Linked DNA regions of Oryzias latipes. Each later gene encodes a partner of the first gene's protein in a complex. Links are inferred from orthologs where the notes say so. Each region holds a gene or a part of one and is shown in the gene's direction. Other genes may lie near its edges.

The links. Proteins that work in one complex are often made in the same cells at the same time.
Region 2: arhgef6 (region 1) and dcp1a share a complex: the UniProt entries of both Homo sapiens proteins name them as parts of the cytoplasmic complex. The link is inferred for Oryzias latipes from reciprocal best matches to the Homo sapiens genes ARHGEF6 and DCP1A.
Region 3: arhgef6 (region 1) and pak1 share a complex: the UniProt entries of both Homo sapiens proteins name them as parts of the cytoplasmic complex. The link is inferred for Oryzias latipes from reciprocal best matches to the Homo sapiens genes ARHGEF6 and PAK1.

What each region holds. Positions count from the first base shown.
Region 1 is NC_019868.2:11,026,901-11,031,032, forward strand, and holds part of arhgef6 (rho guanine nucleotide exchange factor 6), read left to right. Parts: intron 1-802; coding exon 803-896; intron 897-3,375; coding exon 3,376-3,459; intron 3,460-3,558; coding exon 3,559-3,655; intron 3,656-3,841; coding exon 3,842-3,896; intron 3,897-4,132. UniProt on the Homo sapiens protein: Acts as a RAC1 guanine nucleotide exchange factor (GEF).
Region 2 is NC_019865.2:7,301,654-7,306,482, forward strand, and holds the start of dcp1a (mRNA-decapping enzyme 1A), read left to right. Parts: upstream 1-1,583; 5' UTR 1,584-1,622; coding exon 1,623-1,754; intron 1,755-2,048; coding exon 2,049-2,089; intron 2,090-2,576; coding exon 2,577-2,704; intron 2,705-4,827; coding exon 4,828-4,829. UniProt on the Homo sapiens protein: Necessary for the degradation of mRNAs, both in normal mRNA turnover and in nonsense-mediated mRNA decay. Removes the 7-methyl guanine cap structure from mRNA molecules, yielding a 5'-phosphorylated mRNA fragment and 7m-GDP.
Region 3 is NC_019871.2:4,498,728-4,503,462, forward strand, and holds the start of pak1 (serine/threonine-protein kinase PAK 1), read left to right. Parts: upstream 1-1,489; 5' UTR 1,490-1,686; intron 1,687-4,735. UniProt on the Homo sapiens protein: Protein kinase involved in intracellular signaling pathways downstream of integrins and receptor-type kinases that plays an important role in cytoskeleton dynamics, in cell adhesion, migration, proliferation, apoptosis, mitosis, and in vesicle-mediated transport processes.

The sequences.
Region 1 (4,132 bases):
CTCGAGTAAAAGTAACAAAACGACAGACAGGATACCAGAAGCACAAACGGACATAAAGCTGCTTTGCGCATCATTCACATTTTTTTTGCTCTTGCTTTCACTGCAGAAAGCTGATTTTATTTCTAGCTGGTGCCAGTTGTTTTTCACACCTAGTTCTGCAGAGGAAATACTTAATTTAAAGTCTGCCTGAGCTGAAAGGAGACAGTTACTCCCAATAACTGTCAGGCAACTAGGTGTGTGAAATTTGTCCTCCACATTTGACCCATCCCCTGGGGGAGTGGTGAGCTGCAGACACAGCTGCGCTCAGGAACTATTTAGTGGTTTAACCTCCCCCAATCCAACCCCTTAATGCTGAAAGTCAAGCAGGGAGGCATTGGGTCCCATTTTTAGTCTTTGGTAAGACTCGGCCTGGGTTTGAACTCACCACCTTCCAGTCTCATGGCCGATACTCTACCACAAGGCCAATGAGTCAAAAAAAAGTTTAACCTTTGTGTCTCCATTACCTGTGGTTAATTTGAATAATAGCTTTAAAGAGAAAGTGTTTTTGTTTTCTCCATTATTGTCTCACATATGTAATCCCCTGCTAGGTAGGCTGCACTTAACAGTGATGTCAGGCCACACACCTGCTTGCTACCTTGTTTGTTGAAGGTTCTTGTGTCTCGAATGTTTGCTCACACTGGATGTACATCCCTTTAAGCTTGCCTTGTGTTTGGAGTGGAGCCTCTGCTTTTAGATTTGTGCGCTGCATTGAACGTTTCTGTTTGTAGACGTGAGCTCGGTTTGTTTTCCCGTACTCCTCCAGGACTCCAAGAGCCCGCGGCCGATGAAGAAGTTCCTACCTGGCAACAGGAAGAAAGAGCGCAAGCCATCTGATGATGAATTTCAGATGAGAAAAAGTAAGAGTTTCACCTCAGTGTTTTCAGTGTATTTGTTATGAATTAAAAAAAAAACCTAATTGAATTATCGAAAGCTGAAATATGGAAATGGAAACAAAATCTTTCAAATATTCTCTTTGGTTATATCCACATAAAATAAAATTTAATTTCTTCAAAGGGAATCATTAAAGCATTCAAGTGTAAAAATACTATACAAAGAAACATTAGACATCAGATACACTGGTGTACACCACCTTGGGAAAGAACCAGTAAGGTGCAGGAATTGTAGGCAGATGAAAAAAAATGCTGTAGTCAAAGTTTTCAGAAATATAAATAGTGCTTGTTTTATTTTTAGGCTGATGTTATTCACACATATTTACGTGCGACCAGCACAAAATATTGATATTGGCCACACGTTATACGTGCAGCCAAGATGCACATTGCTGCATTGCCTGCATGAATTTTAAGTGTGTCCAAGGCTGGATTTTGTTTTTGGCTGCACATATTTAAAATTAAACTTAAAGTTAAAGTCCCATTAGCTGTCAGCCAGGTGCGTGAAATGTGTTCTTCACATTTGATTCATCTCCTGCAGAAACGGCGTCTTCCTCTGGGTCTGTGCGGCCAAGACATTAAGATTAGGGCTGGCCTCACATACTTTGAAAATTACATGCAAAGACACTTTCTATTTTTTATAATTTTACAAAATGCAAAGAAAAGTAAAAAAAATATAAATCCAATCCATATTTGATTTTTCTTTTCTTTTGCCTTCAACCAGCATCAACTCTGAGCGGTACAGTTGCACAAAATCAGGGATCTTGTAAGATTATAGTCTAGTGTTTGAGCTAATTATACCAAAAAGATGCTAATTATCATCAGTGGGTTGAAACCCAGTCATAAATTGAAACAGAAACTGCTGTGTGGGAGGCTTAAAACTGGGTGAAGAACAGGCAAACTCTGCTGCCAGTTTCATGTCATGACAAGATTGAGCACAGCAACATGATACGTGGTAAGTAAGTTTTCCTGCATCAGCAAGGTCTCTCCCAGACAAAGATTTCAAAGCAAACTGGGGTTTCCAGATGTACTTCACAAGCTCTTTTGAAGAGGCACAAAGAAACGGGCGGCATGAGGATCGTAGATGTCGTGGCAAACCTAGTATAGCAGATGATAGACACAGCAAGCTAATTACCCTTCAAAATTGGAAGATGTCCAGCAATTCCATCAGCTCAAAACTGGCAGAAAACCAGTAGAACACAGGTACATCCTTCTAATGCCGGGAGAAATTAGGCCAGAAGTGTCTTCATGAAAGAACTGCCACCAAAAAGCTGAATTTCCAACATGGAAACAAGGCCAAATGAGTAAAGAAATCAGGAAAACATAAGAATAGAGCTGTAGAAAAATGCCAGCAGATGTTCTGGACCGATTGGGTCAAAATCTGAAAAATATGGCAGTAGCAGTTTGTTGGTGAAAGGGGAGGATAGCAGAAGAAACATGAAGGTCTGCAAGCAACTTTGAAGGACAAGAAGGTTCCTTGAACATTTGGGGCTGCATTTCTGCAAAGAAAGATGGATATGTGTTCAGGATTAATGATACACAGGCAGATGCTTCATCAATCATGCATTTCCATCATGCCTGGCCCTGAATGTATTCTGCAACAGAACAACCCCAAAAGTCATTAAGAACTGTCTTCAGCGGAAAGAAAAACAAATAGTTCTGGAAGTGATGACACAGTCTCCGTGAACTCTAGCCTCAACATCGTGGAATGGTGTCTGGATTTACATCAGGAGACAGAAGGGTGGGAGAGACAGCCTGCATCCACAGCAGATTCTCTCATTGCGTTTTATTGATCAACTAAAAAAAATAAATGATTAATTCTTCCTTTTCTGAAAAGCACTCTTCGTCCACAGCATTTTCTCCCACATCTGCTTAAAAGGTTTGCACATTTCTGTACATCCGTGCAGCCAGAAGCCATGCAATGAAAACACCCTATAACTTTAACTGATATCATATTATAATTTACAGCAGCACATAAACTGTTAAATTATTAGTCCATATTAATACTTGAAGAAAATGTTGTTGATTTATCAAAAGCAAGAATCTCGCAGTGCAGATAAAAAAAGGAACTGAAATTGTTATTTTTGCTGCTTTTCTGATCTGACCTGACTCCCAGACCAGGACAAAGTCTAGGTCATCAGAAAAGCTTCATTGGTAATGGAAGAGGTTGAAGCTTTGTGGTGCTGACACCCTCGTTCAATTCCCAGGGTTCAAATTGATGATTGTGCTCTGAGCTGCACTGCATTTTCATCCACCAGGGTCACGTGCTGTGCAGTTTTCATCAGCAGTACAGTATGATGAATCCTCACGATGTACAGACACCAATAATTCCTCAGCCATTGTGAACACGTTGATATTAATACAGTTCCTTTCCCTGAGTTGTAAACCACACGTGCTGAATGACCCAGAGGCCATGCCTTCTTCTGATGTCCATCTCTGGTCTCGACAGGCATGGCTGCTCTGGAAGAGGACGCTCAGATCCTTCGGGTGATTGAGGCCTACTGCACAGGAGTCAGCCTCCAGACCGCCACAGGTCAGAGGATCACCATGATCTCCACTTAGACTGCACACCTTTAGCAGCAGCTCCTAGCATAATTGAAGCTTTGTCTGTTGCTCTGTGTGTGTGCAACAGTGCGGAAAGAGTGCGTCCCTCAGGTTCTTTTGCCGGAGGAAGAGAAAATCATTGTGGAGGAAATGAAGAGCAACGGGCAGACGGTTACTGAGGAGAAGTATGGAAGTCGTGACTCGTTACAATTAATTGTTGCACGAACACATTTCTCAGAATTGGTTGATTGATTTTGATTACTTCTGTTTAAAAGGACAAAATGGTTTTCAAAAAGAATTCTTTGAAGGTTACATTTGAGGATGAAAACAAATCAATTATGTGTTGTTGACATTCTATTGGTTACCTGCAGGAGTCTGGTTGACGCTGTTTATGCTCTAAAGGACGAGGTTCATGAGCTGAAGAAGGTCAGTGTTATTGCTCGTAATTCCATTCTAACGGAATTTCATTACAAGCATCATGTTACACTTTCAAAGATGGCACAAGAGTAGATTCCTGAAAAGGAAATTAGGATTTATAGCTTTAGTCAATGTGCCTGACCACTACAGGCATCAAGCTTTGTTGTTCAGAATCATGTGGGTGAGATCATCCATTCACATTCTACATCTCAGTGCTGCAGAGGTTATCCTAAATACGTGTCCTT
Region 2 (4,829 bases), on another chromosome or scaffold:
TGAATAGAAATAGGAAAGGGAAACTTTGAGGAGCACCAAGAAAAAAAATCCTCCCAAAAATTGTTAACATATATACATTCCAAAAACAGATGATCAAGTGTTTCTATATTTATGTCACAGAAAGAACAGTTATTTTCTGGAAAACCAAAATGTATACGTAGTAGTTCTTTGCACGGATAGACTGCATTCTTACATCAAAATCACATTTTAGGAGGAATTCAATGCCCCCCAGATGGGAGAAAAAGTTTGAAGGAATATGAAACAAAATATTTATTTCATTTTGCAGAAAAGCCCTAAGCCAATTTATTTTAATCATACTATTCAAACTTTCAAAGTCTATGGCTTTAAATCCACCTTCACTGTAATCCTGAATTATTATTCATTTTTTATGTAATGAGTTTTGTTTTTCCAGATGAAGTTAAAATTGCCCTGGTTTCTTGTTTTCCTTGCAGATTTAGGAATTGGGAGTGAATATGCTGGATAAATGAATCTGGATAAACAATCTAATTTAGTGAGAAACATTCTGCCCAGAATAGAAATGTCACGCTGTGACCACATGTTTAAATTTACTTACAATTCACACTTGCTGAGATTTAGTTTTAAACCAGTTGCTTTAGAATAGGAATCTGCGGTTTGAAAGATCTCCGGTATTTGATGACTCTCCTTCATGAATACGGCCGTGTCGTCTGCCAGCTTAGTAATGGCTAACTGTTCTCCCAGGACATTGAGTTTACAGAAACCAGAGTTTGTTATAAGTATTGATAACATTTCTGTTGCTGTTATAAAAAGCAACGGTGAAAATTGGACAGCCTTGTTTAATTCTTTTGTTAATTAAAAATCTGGGAGAAATGCCATTCGGTGAAATAACTACACTGTTCGTATCGTTATAGATTGTTTTAACAAAACTTATGAAATTAGGTCCAAATCAAAATAATTCTAACTAAAACGTTTATCCAGAACAGATTTAAATTAAACATTGAGACACTTTGTAGCTTTGGTTGTGATTCCCCTGAAACAGTTATCCATCTTTTTTGGTATTGTCCCAAAGTTAAGGTGTTTTGGCAGAAGATGTGTGATTTTATTAATGATAAAATTGATTCTTGTTTTGTCTTGTTTTGGAAAGATGTCTTGTTGGGTCTAATATAAAAAAATATGCAAAAGGACTCTTGTTTACTTCTAAATCTTTTACTCATTTTGGCAAAATTCCATGTTCATAAATGTACATTTTCAGGTAGAAAACCCTGTTTCACTGTATTCTTTTCTAAATTAAATCAGTATATCAACAGTATTCGAAATTCAGAGAAGCAAAAAGCAATCAGAACATTGTCTGTATGTGATAGATTCAGTATTTTTTCGTAGAGTTTAACCCCCTGGCTTATAACTATTTCTAGTCTTGTTCTTCTGTTTGTTACAGAAGTGTATTTGATATTTGCAGTTGTGGTTTTTTTTTCATACCTAAAAGTACATTTTTGTAAAATGGCATAATGTGCAATAAAGTTGAGCTTTAAAAAAAAATAGTGGAAGTGGGGAACTATTTTTGAGCGCCGCCACTTCCGGGGACAAGCGAAGTTGAAAGTGTTTCAAAAAAATTCGTCCGTGTAGGTACAACAGACCGATCCAAGATGGAAACTGTAAGTGCGGGACATATGATGAGCTTAGCAGCTCTTCAAAGACAAGACCCCTATATAAACAAATTACTAGATGTAACTGGTCAAGTTGCACTTTACAACTTTAATTCTAAAGTAAACGAGTGGGTAAGTTCATTAGTTACTTTATGATTTTCTGTGATTCGAATGAGGCTTTATCATCATGTTTACTTAGCTCATGGTGCTAGCCCTCGTTAATCAAAACGCGACAGTAGCACTATGTTCACTAAAGCTTTACCGTACGTGGACCTTTATGCTTCGTTATTTTAGCTAATGCTATTTCTAGTCCTTTCAATTTTTGTATTTTTAAATGTATTTCCTTTAGTTAAACTATTGTTCACAGATTCGGCAGCACCTTTTCAGAACATGTTTTGACTTGTAATGTTATTTTAAACATTTTAGGAGAAGACCGACATCGAAGGCACTCTGTTTGTTTATGCCAGGTAAGATTAGCACTTGAACTCGTAATTTGATTGTTTACTTCATCATTGGGTGCTCTGCGCATGTGCACAGGCCACCGTAGGCGTATTTGTAAACAAATCGAGAAAACTTGCCCCAGCCTAGATTTTTATGTTTACAGTACAAAAAATGAATTTTGCTCATCAAACAATTTGCCAAGAAAACTGTACATTTATGATTTAATATAACTGACTTTTTTTTGCCTCAGAAATTTTTAAATCAAGTCATGTGCATTTATTTTCTGTCTTTTTTAGAAAATCATTAGGAAAATTAACAATAAAACTTGTTTTTAAAAATTGCCAGATTATATTTACCTTTAAACAAAGAATTGTAAAAACTAGAAATGTTTTTATCAATTTTGAAATATCCAACATTTCACTGTCATAAAAGTTTTTTTCAAGTGTTTTTTAATTGCTTTGTCAACAGTAAACAATGAAGCATTATCAACAGAGTGATGTTTGTTCCTTTTAGGTCTGCTTCTCCTTATCATGGCTTCACCATCATGAACAGATTAAGTACAGTCAACCTTGTGGAGCCTATTAACAAAGACCTGGAATTCCAACTGCAGGATCCTTTCTTGCTCTACAAGAATGGCAACTGTAAGTGGTTTGAATAAAAATCCTCATCAAAGTATGGAAGAGTTGTAATCATTAATTTAATTCAAAAGTGCTTTATAATGATGTTCTATTTAAGTAGATTTCAAGGAATAGTGATCTTTTGAAGCTACAAGGTATTCATTAAAACCAGGATGAGGCTGCCCACATGATTATAGAGTGAAACGTCTTGAGTTGAGATGAAGACATGCTGATTTAATGCTTAGATCACATTTTTTGTTGAAAATAGGAAGTCGTAAAAATTTCTGACCACATTGTCGATACAAAATTAGAATAAAGCACAATTCACTGAGTAATCCAGGACATTTTTGCCAAAGTAAAATGGAAATTTTCAAGTTAACTCTTGTTTTTTAAATACGCCGTTTTATTTGCAGCTTTTTTGTCCATTTCCTTTATTCTTTGTGAACCCACCTTAATGTATAAGTCATTGTAGTGCACCGCGGATTCACAAACTGTCAAAAGTGGCTGTCATACCTAGTTTGTGAACAATCTATTGTTCACAAATGCTCAAATAATTCTGACAGTACCTCTGAACATTCTGGATAAACACCTCCCCAGTGTTCGGTGGAACATCTCTTCTCCTTTTTGCTTGAACTCATGGTGACTTCTTGAAGCATTAAGCAGGAACACTTTGTCATTCATGGCCTACAGCGGCCTCGTAAACAAGCGCTTCCAGCTGGTTTTGCAACAGTTATCCTTCGCATTTGGGTCAAAAAGCAAAAAGAGTTCAAAGTTTCATTCATCAAACTTCTTCTGCTATAATTGTTTTAGTTTGCTGATTGTTCAATCCTGTAATTTCCTCCTGGAAAAATGGGTCAAATAGAAAAAAATTGCGCCATACTAGATCTTCAAAAAGTAGCTGACAGCACTTCCACCAAGATAATCAATGAGGAGTCTGAGCAGAAGTTTCATCAAAGCGATGAACAAAGAATTCGACTGCTTTCCCATTTGTTTGCTGATGAGAAAAGTTAGCATAGCCAAGGTTAAAGTCAAAGTGGATTGTTCTCCTTTGGGCTTTGGTTTTCCCAGCAGCCTGGCAGGTATGGAAGCCATGATGCAGTGTTTTGTTGGTGATCCAATATAGTCTGCTTCTCCAGTAGCTTCACTCAAGTCTTCGGGGCTTTTGTCATCGCTTACTTCCTTTCTGTCAGCTTTAGTTTCAAAAAGATAAAATGAAGAGCAGTTTTCTCAGGAAACATTAGCTGATAATGCTCCTTGAGTTGAGGTGAAGATACATCCGTCTTGGCAACTAAGCTTTTCTCTGCAAACGTTAGTCGAAGTGGTTTTTTTTTGTTTGTTTGTTTTTCCGTCGGTTGGTTTTCAGTCCCGTCTCACTCTGTTAGTTTATCCACTTGTTTGGAGAGAAAAATGTTTCTGCGCTTTTTCTCCTTTAGTGTAGGTTTGGCTTTGAAGGTGGAGATTCCAATTCTGATCTTGAAAGTCCTGCAAAAGAACAACCCACCCTCTGAAGGAGAAATGTCACCATCAAAAACGATCAGGATCCAAATATAATTCTCCAAATAAAGGGTTTAAATGTTTACGTTTCGCTCCTGTGAGTGGTGCAGAGCTCACTGCAAATGTGCTTGGATGTGGAGAATAGTGTTGCAGAGAAACACTTGGACACACCTGTTTACACCTCATCCTTTTCCCTTTGGACGCTGATGGTGCTGCAGGGAGGCAAATGTTTTGGTTGCCGGGTTACTGTTGCTTCACAAGAGATTCAGACACCGGGATTTTACAACACACTTGCAACATAAAGTAATAACAACCAGATATTATTTTTACAGTTAAACCTTTTTGTAATTACATTATTTTACATTTCAGTAGTAGTTTGATCTGTGCGATCAAAGTCCTTTCATAAACTTCAGTTTTTAGTTTTCCACATCTGGTTCTTGGAAGAATTCTGTGAACTTCTTTTATTCTATCAGTTTTTTTACCCATTTTATTCAAACAGATGTTTAAACTTTAGGATTATTAAGTAAGCTTTAATATTTGATCTTGTTGTTGTTGAGAACTAATGATTAAATTAATCATTCACAGCCTTTTGGGGTTATTTTTTTGCATTACTGCTTTACCTAACAGAATGTCTGTTTCTATATTTCTTCTAGTG
Region 3 (4,735 bases), on another chromosome or scaffold:
GTCCATGGATTACATGAAATCTTTCCACCTTTATCCACCTTTGTCATGGTAGGGAGAACACGTCAAAGTAAGGGTGGGGTCATCTAAGATAGCACAAGGGATAAAACAATGCATTGTCTTCTGATTCTCACGTCATAATAAAAAGAGCTTTGAGTGACTTTCAGTTACATGAATGATGATGCAATCATGATCAATGTGAAATACAGACCACTGGGTGTCACCAAAACCTCAGCTTTTCCTTTATTACCTTGACATTCAGTGTGACATCTTCAACAGTTTAAAACAAATATTCAATCTGAGGTGGAACTAAACTAATTTATTTTTTAAAAAACTGGGATTTTTGCATCAAAACAGTCACTTGTCAAATACACTTAATGTTGATAAAATCAAAGTTTGAATTGGCGGTTTTAAATTGGTTAAAAACGACATAGTCATCACAGAAAAAAAAAAAACATGTATAGGATGACATGTAACCTAAAAGTCATTATAATAAAGCTCTGTCTGATTTTTTTCTTTCTATTTTTTTGTGTAGCACTTTGAGTCAAACGTGGAAGTTAATTGAAGATTTTAAAATAAATGCAATTGAAATCAACAAAATATGACCTCCCTTTATGTTATAGAAGAATAGAACAAAACCTTATTGATTCCACAAAAGGGGATATTACATACAAAGATCAATTACCAACAAGTAGTACTTGTATAAAAAGCTCAAGGCTTTCTAAGAGTACAACAAAGTACACATCTGTAACAGAAGACATTTACAAAAGTGGCAAACTTAGCAATCCTCACCTTGGTTAAAACGTTGAACAAGGTTTCATTGGTCCACTTGACGGAATCAATGTCAAGAATCCAAATGTTTAGATAGGCATTCAAAACCTGAAATTGCATTAAAATGTTAATGAAATGTATTTTACATACATTATATACATTATTTTTACTTGGAATATAAACTCAATTTATTGAATGTACACATTTGTTACTTTCTATAGGAAAAAAGGATTGTTTTCTGTTCTTTAATGTTTTTTTGAGAGAAATGTTCACTCCTCACCTTACGGACGAGCAATTTCATTAAAAAATTATGTCATCTGAGTTTTAAAAATTATATCTGTTTCTTTCTTATTGACTTAATAATCTAAAATAAATTATTTTAAAGGAGAGTTCTCTCTCACTGTGAAGCTCATCTAAATAACGACGTCACCGCTGTGTGTTTGAAATATCCTTTTTTTCTGTAGTTAATATTTCCATAACATGGTTACATGAAGGCAACACGCAGGGACAACCCATACGTGAGTGTCTACAAATGCGCACTTTTTATTTGTTACGTGAATGCAGCATAGGTCGTTCGGTTTTGCCGGCGAGTCGGGACCCGCCCCGAGAGTTTAGACGGACATCTTTGTCAGCCAATAGAAATGAGGCAGTGTGGACGACCAACCAATGGCGTGGCCGAACGCTCCGGTGAGGAGGCGGGACTTTGTATGCAGCAGACTTCTCTGCGCTTGGCTAACAATAGCCTGGGCTCGGCAAGTTTTATAGCTAAAAAAAAAATCAGGCGAGGGCGGCAGAGCGGAGCAGGTCTGAGCCTCCGGAGGAGCAGGACTTTTCGGAATACATGAGACGCTGTGAGCCGGCGGAGGAAAAACACTCAAACCGACAGCAACGACATTTGAATTTGCTGTCAGACATTTGGTGAGCGGAGCTTTTTTTCCCTACTTTATTTCAGCAGGTTTTCCCAGCTGATGGGCTGCGTTGCCGGCCAGCATGGTGGTGCGCTGCGTGTGTGGATGAAGGAGGGAGCTGGTGGGAAATGTGCTGGAAAGACGCTGTTATCTTTGTTTCCCCCTCAACATAACCCCCATCAACGTGCGCTGCTTGGTGGACTTTTATAGTCAGGATTTTCCAGCCATAGGCGTTGGCGGGTTGATTATTATTTTATTAAACCAGCTGCTTCCCAAATGACTGGACGACGTGGGAAATGATAGCAGCACAGCAGGCAGAATGAATGAAGATCTGCCACTTTTCTCTCAGGGAATTGAACCTGTTTACCAGTTCATACATGCATTTAAGAAAAAAAGTGTCTCAATTTTCTTTTCTTTATTTGCATTTTAATCTTACTTTAGCTGCTCAGCACAGAAATCTACTAAATGTTTGGTCAAAGTTGATGCATCAAACCCCCTTATAGCTGTTTTCCCATCACCTGCAGTACAATCATTGATTTCTGTAAACGTGACTTTTCTGATTAGAGCCCTGCAAGCTGCTAGAAACGCTCAGAAGCTGGAGTTTCCACGTGGATCAGCAGAAACCGCTGCACTGTTCTTCATCCTGAGGTTTTCAGCTGCGTCCACCAACAGCTTATGCCAAAGCAATCTATGTGGATATGAGTGCAGCTCTACTTTGCCGTATTCAAGTCAAGTCCCCCCTCCCATCATCTGTTCAGCTATTTTCAAAGCATTCCCAACAGTTAAAAAAAACCCTCATGATTGTGATATTTTTAGCAAAAAAACCCAACAAAAAACAAAACTTGTGTCGCCTAAAACCCCGCCCACCCTTCCCATCACTGAGAGCTCTCTGTTTATTTCTCTTTTTGTGTTTGCTGTGGTTGAGTGGTCCAAATCCCATGTTAGTGAAGATTCATAGTAACTTCATGGAACAAAACAAAAAAGACACCAAAACTTAAGTTACATAATTATTTTTTTTTATCGTATTCCTGAAAATGGGGAAAACATAATGACTTTTTACACAACAAACCACTTTACTGTATTAAAAAAAGTGTTTTTTGTAATAATATTAAACATCAGCCATGTGCATAAATGCAAATCTCTTCCAACTTTTATGTCCTAATTTTTTTGTAGACTAAAATAGACATTTATGGAAGCGGTTACCATGGAAACCTGGGTGTGGCAAAAGGAGAGGCTCATTGGCTTGCATGGGGAATGCCCTCCCCTCCATTTGTCACTTTGACACCTTGTGACAGCAGGACAGAGGGCGGCGAAGGCGGGCGGGGGTTAATGACCCATTTGGCCCCTGCGGTTTCGGCCGGGCGTCTCTCCACGGAGGCCAGGACGGTGGAGTTCACGTGGACGCGGCCGCGCGCACGTGTGTTTTCCGCGTCTGCTGCGTCTCACCTGTTATGGAAGTTATTTTTAACCACGGGGCAGTTTGTTTGGGATCTGAGTCGTGTAGAGATGTGGACCAACAAAACGGGTTGCCATGGATACGGCAAGAGTGAAAGATGCAATGTGACTTTTTTTTTTTTTTTGGAGTTGTCTAATGAAAAGAAGATAGAAGGACTTTACCTACTTACTCGTAAACATTTGTTTTATGGAATACAGTGAAATGTGCAATGAGCCACTCTCGTCTCAGAAATTAAGAAACGGACGCTGTAAATACTATTTGGAATGTTCTCCTGTTCTACGAAACAAAAATTCACTAATGTCAGCAAGTGGAGGCGGCAAGCCCGCCCCCTCTCCCCCTCTCTGTTGCTGAGGACTTGAAGCAGGGAGTTTGTGGCGCCCCCAGCGTGATTTTTCTACATCACAAATACTCAGAAATGCAATTTTTAAGCCTAATGTACTTTATCAATACGCTCTATTGTCCAAAAAAGTACCTCAAGAACATGTTAAAAGCACAATTTTTGATCGTAGTGGGTCTTTAAAAGAAAAAGGACACTAAAGCTAGTTTGGAGGGTTAGTACGCTAAACGAAACGTCGCTCCAGCTTGGAGCTTTTAAGGTGCAGGTAGTGAGGTTGGATTCCTGACACATAGGCTTCTCTGTTTTCAGTCTCATGATTCCCCAAGAGCTACAGCCAGATGATGACTAATCAAACACAGAGTCGTCGGTGTTTGTGGAGTCACCACGCTGCTCCGGCTGCTTTAAAGACCTCTGAATACCAGAAACCGTGAAATCAAATCTTCCCCATCGCAGATATTTGTCTTTGCCGGGTGGGCGTTCAAACACCACACTGGCATGAATAGAGAGACTGGCAGTTGAGCGGCCGAAAAGGCTGCCAGCAGCTGAATAATGGATAGACTGTTTGCCTGCAAGGCTGCGGCGGCGGCTGAGCTGCACGGCGTCTAGACCAACCCCGACTCCGGCTCTCTGAAACAAGCTGTCTGGCTGGATGGGGATGAAAGGCGCGACTCCGTTTTTAAGCTTGTAATCCACTTTACTGATGTGACGTCAGATAAAAGGAGAAGTTAGGAAGCGCTTTGGAGCGCGGCACCAAAAAGATAGGCCAGATAGTTTTGGTTTGATCTCGGGTGGCGCTGAAGTTCTGCATAAGGAGGTAGAGGAGGAGACGTTTACAGGTGGAGCTCCTTCCACTCTGCATGAAAGCAGCTTTCAATACATTTTCTGCAGTCTTCATCATCTTCCTCATTCCACGCTGTATCCTGTGGTGATCTTCTTCTTGTGGATTGTGCTCAGAGGGCATCCGAGTTCCCTGACCTTGTTTTAGTTCACATCAATGAAAATGAATTCTCTATTCATTATCTATTAACCTGGTTTGGCCTATATATTTTTTTAAAATGTTTTGTAAGTGAAGATTGGTGTACGATTAGGATGGTTTTTTTAATTTCAGCCCAAAAAAATGACCAACCAAGAATTTATTAAAGCATGAATGCTGATCTGATGGCTCAATTACTACAAATGTTGTGTTGGACTTTTCGTCCAAAACTGCGTCTTGTCCTCTGAAATGACTTCTGTGTGTGTGTGTACGTCTCTTCCTTATCGTGTATT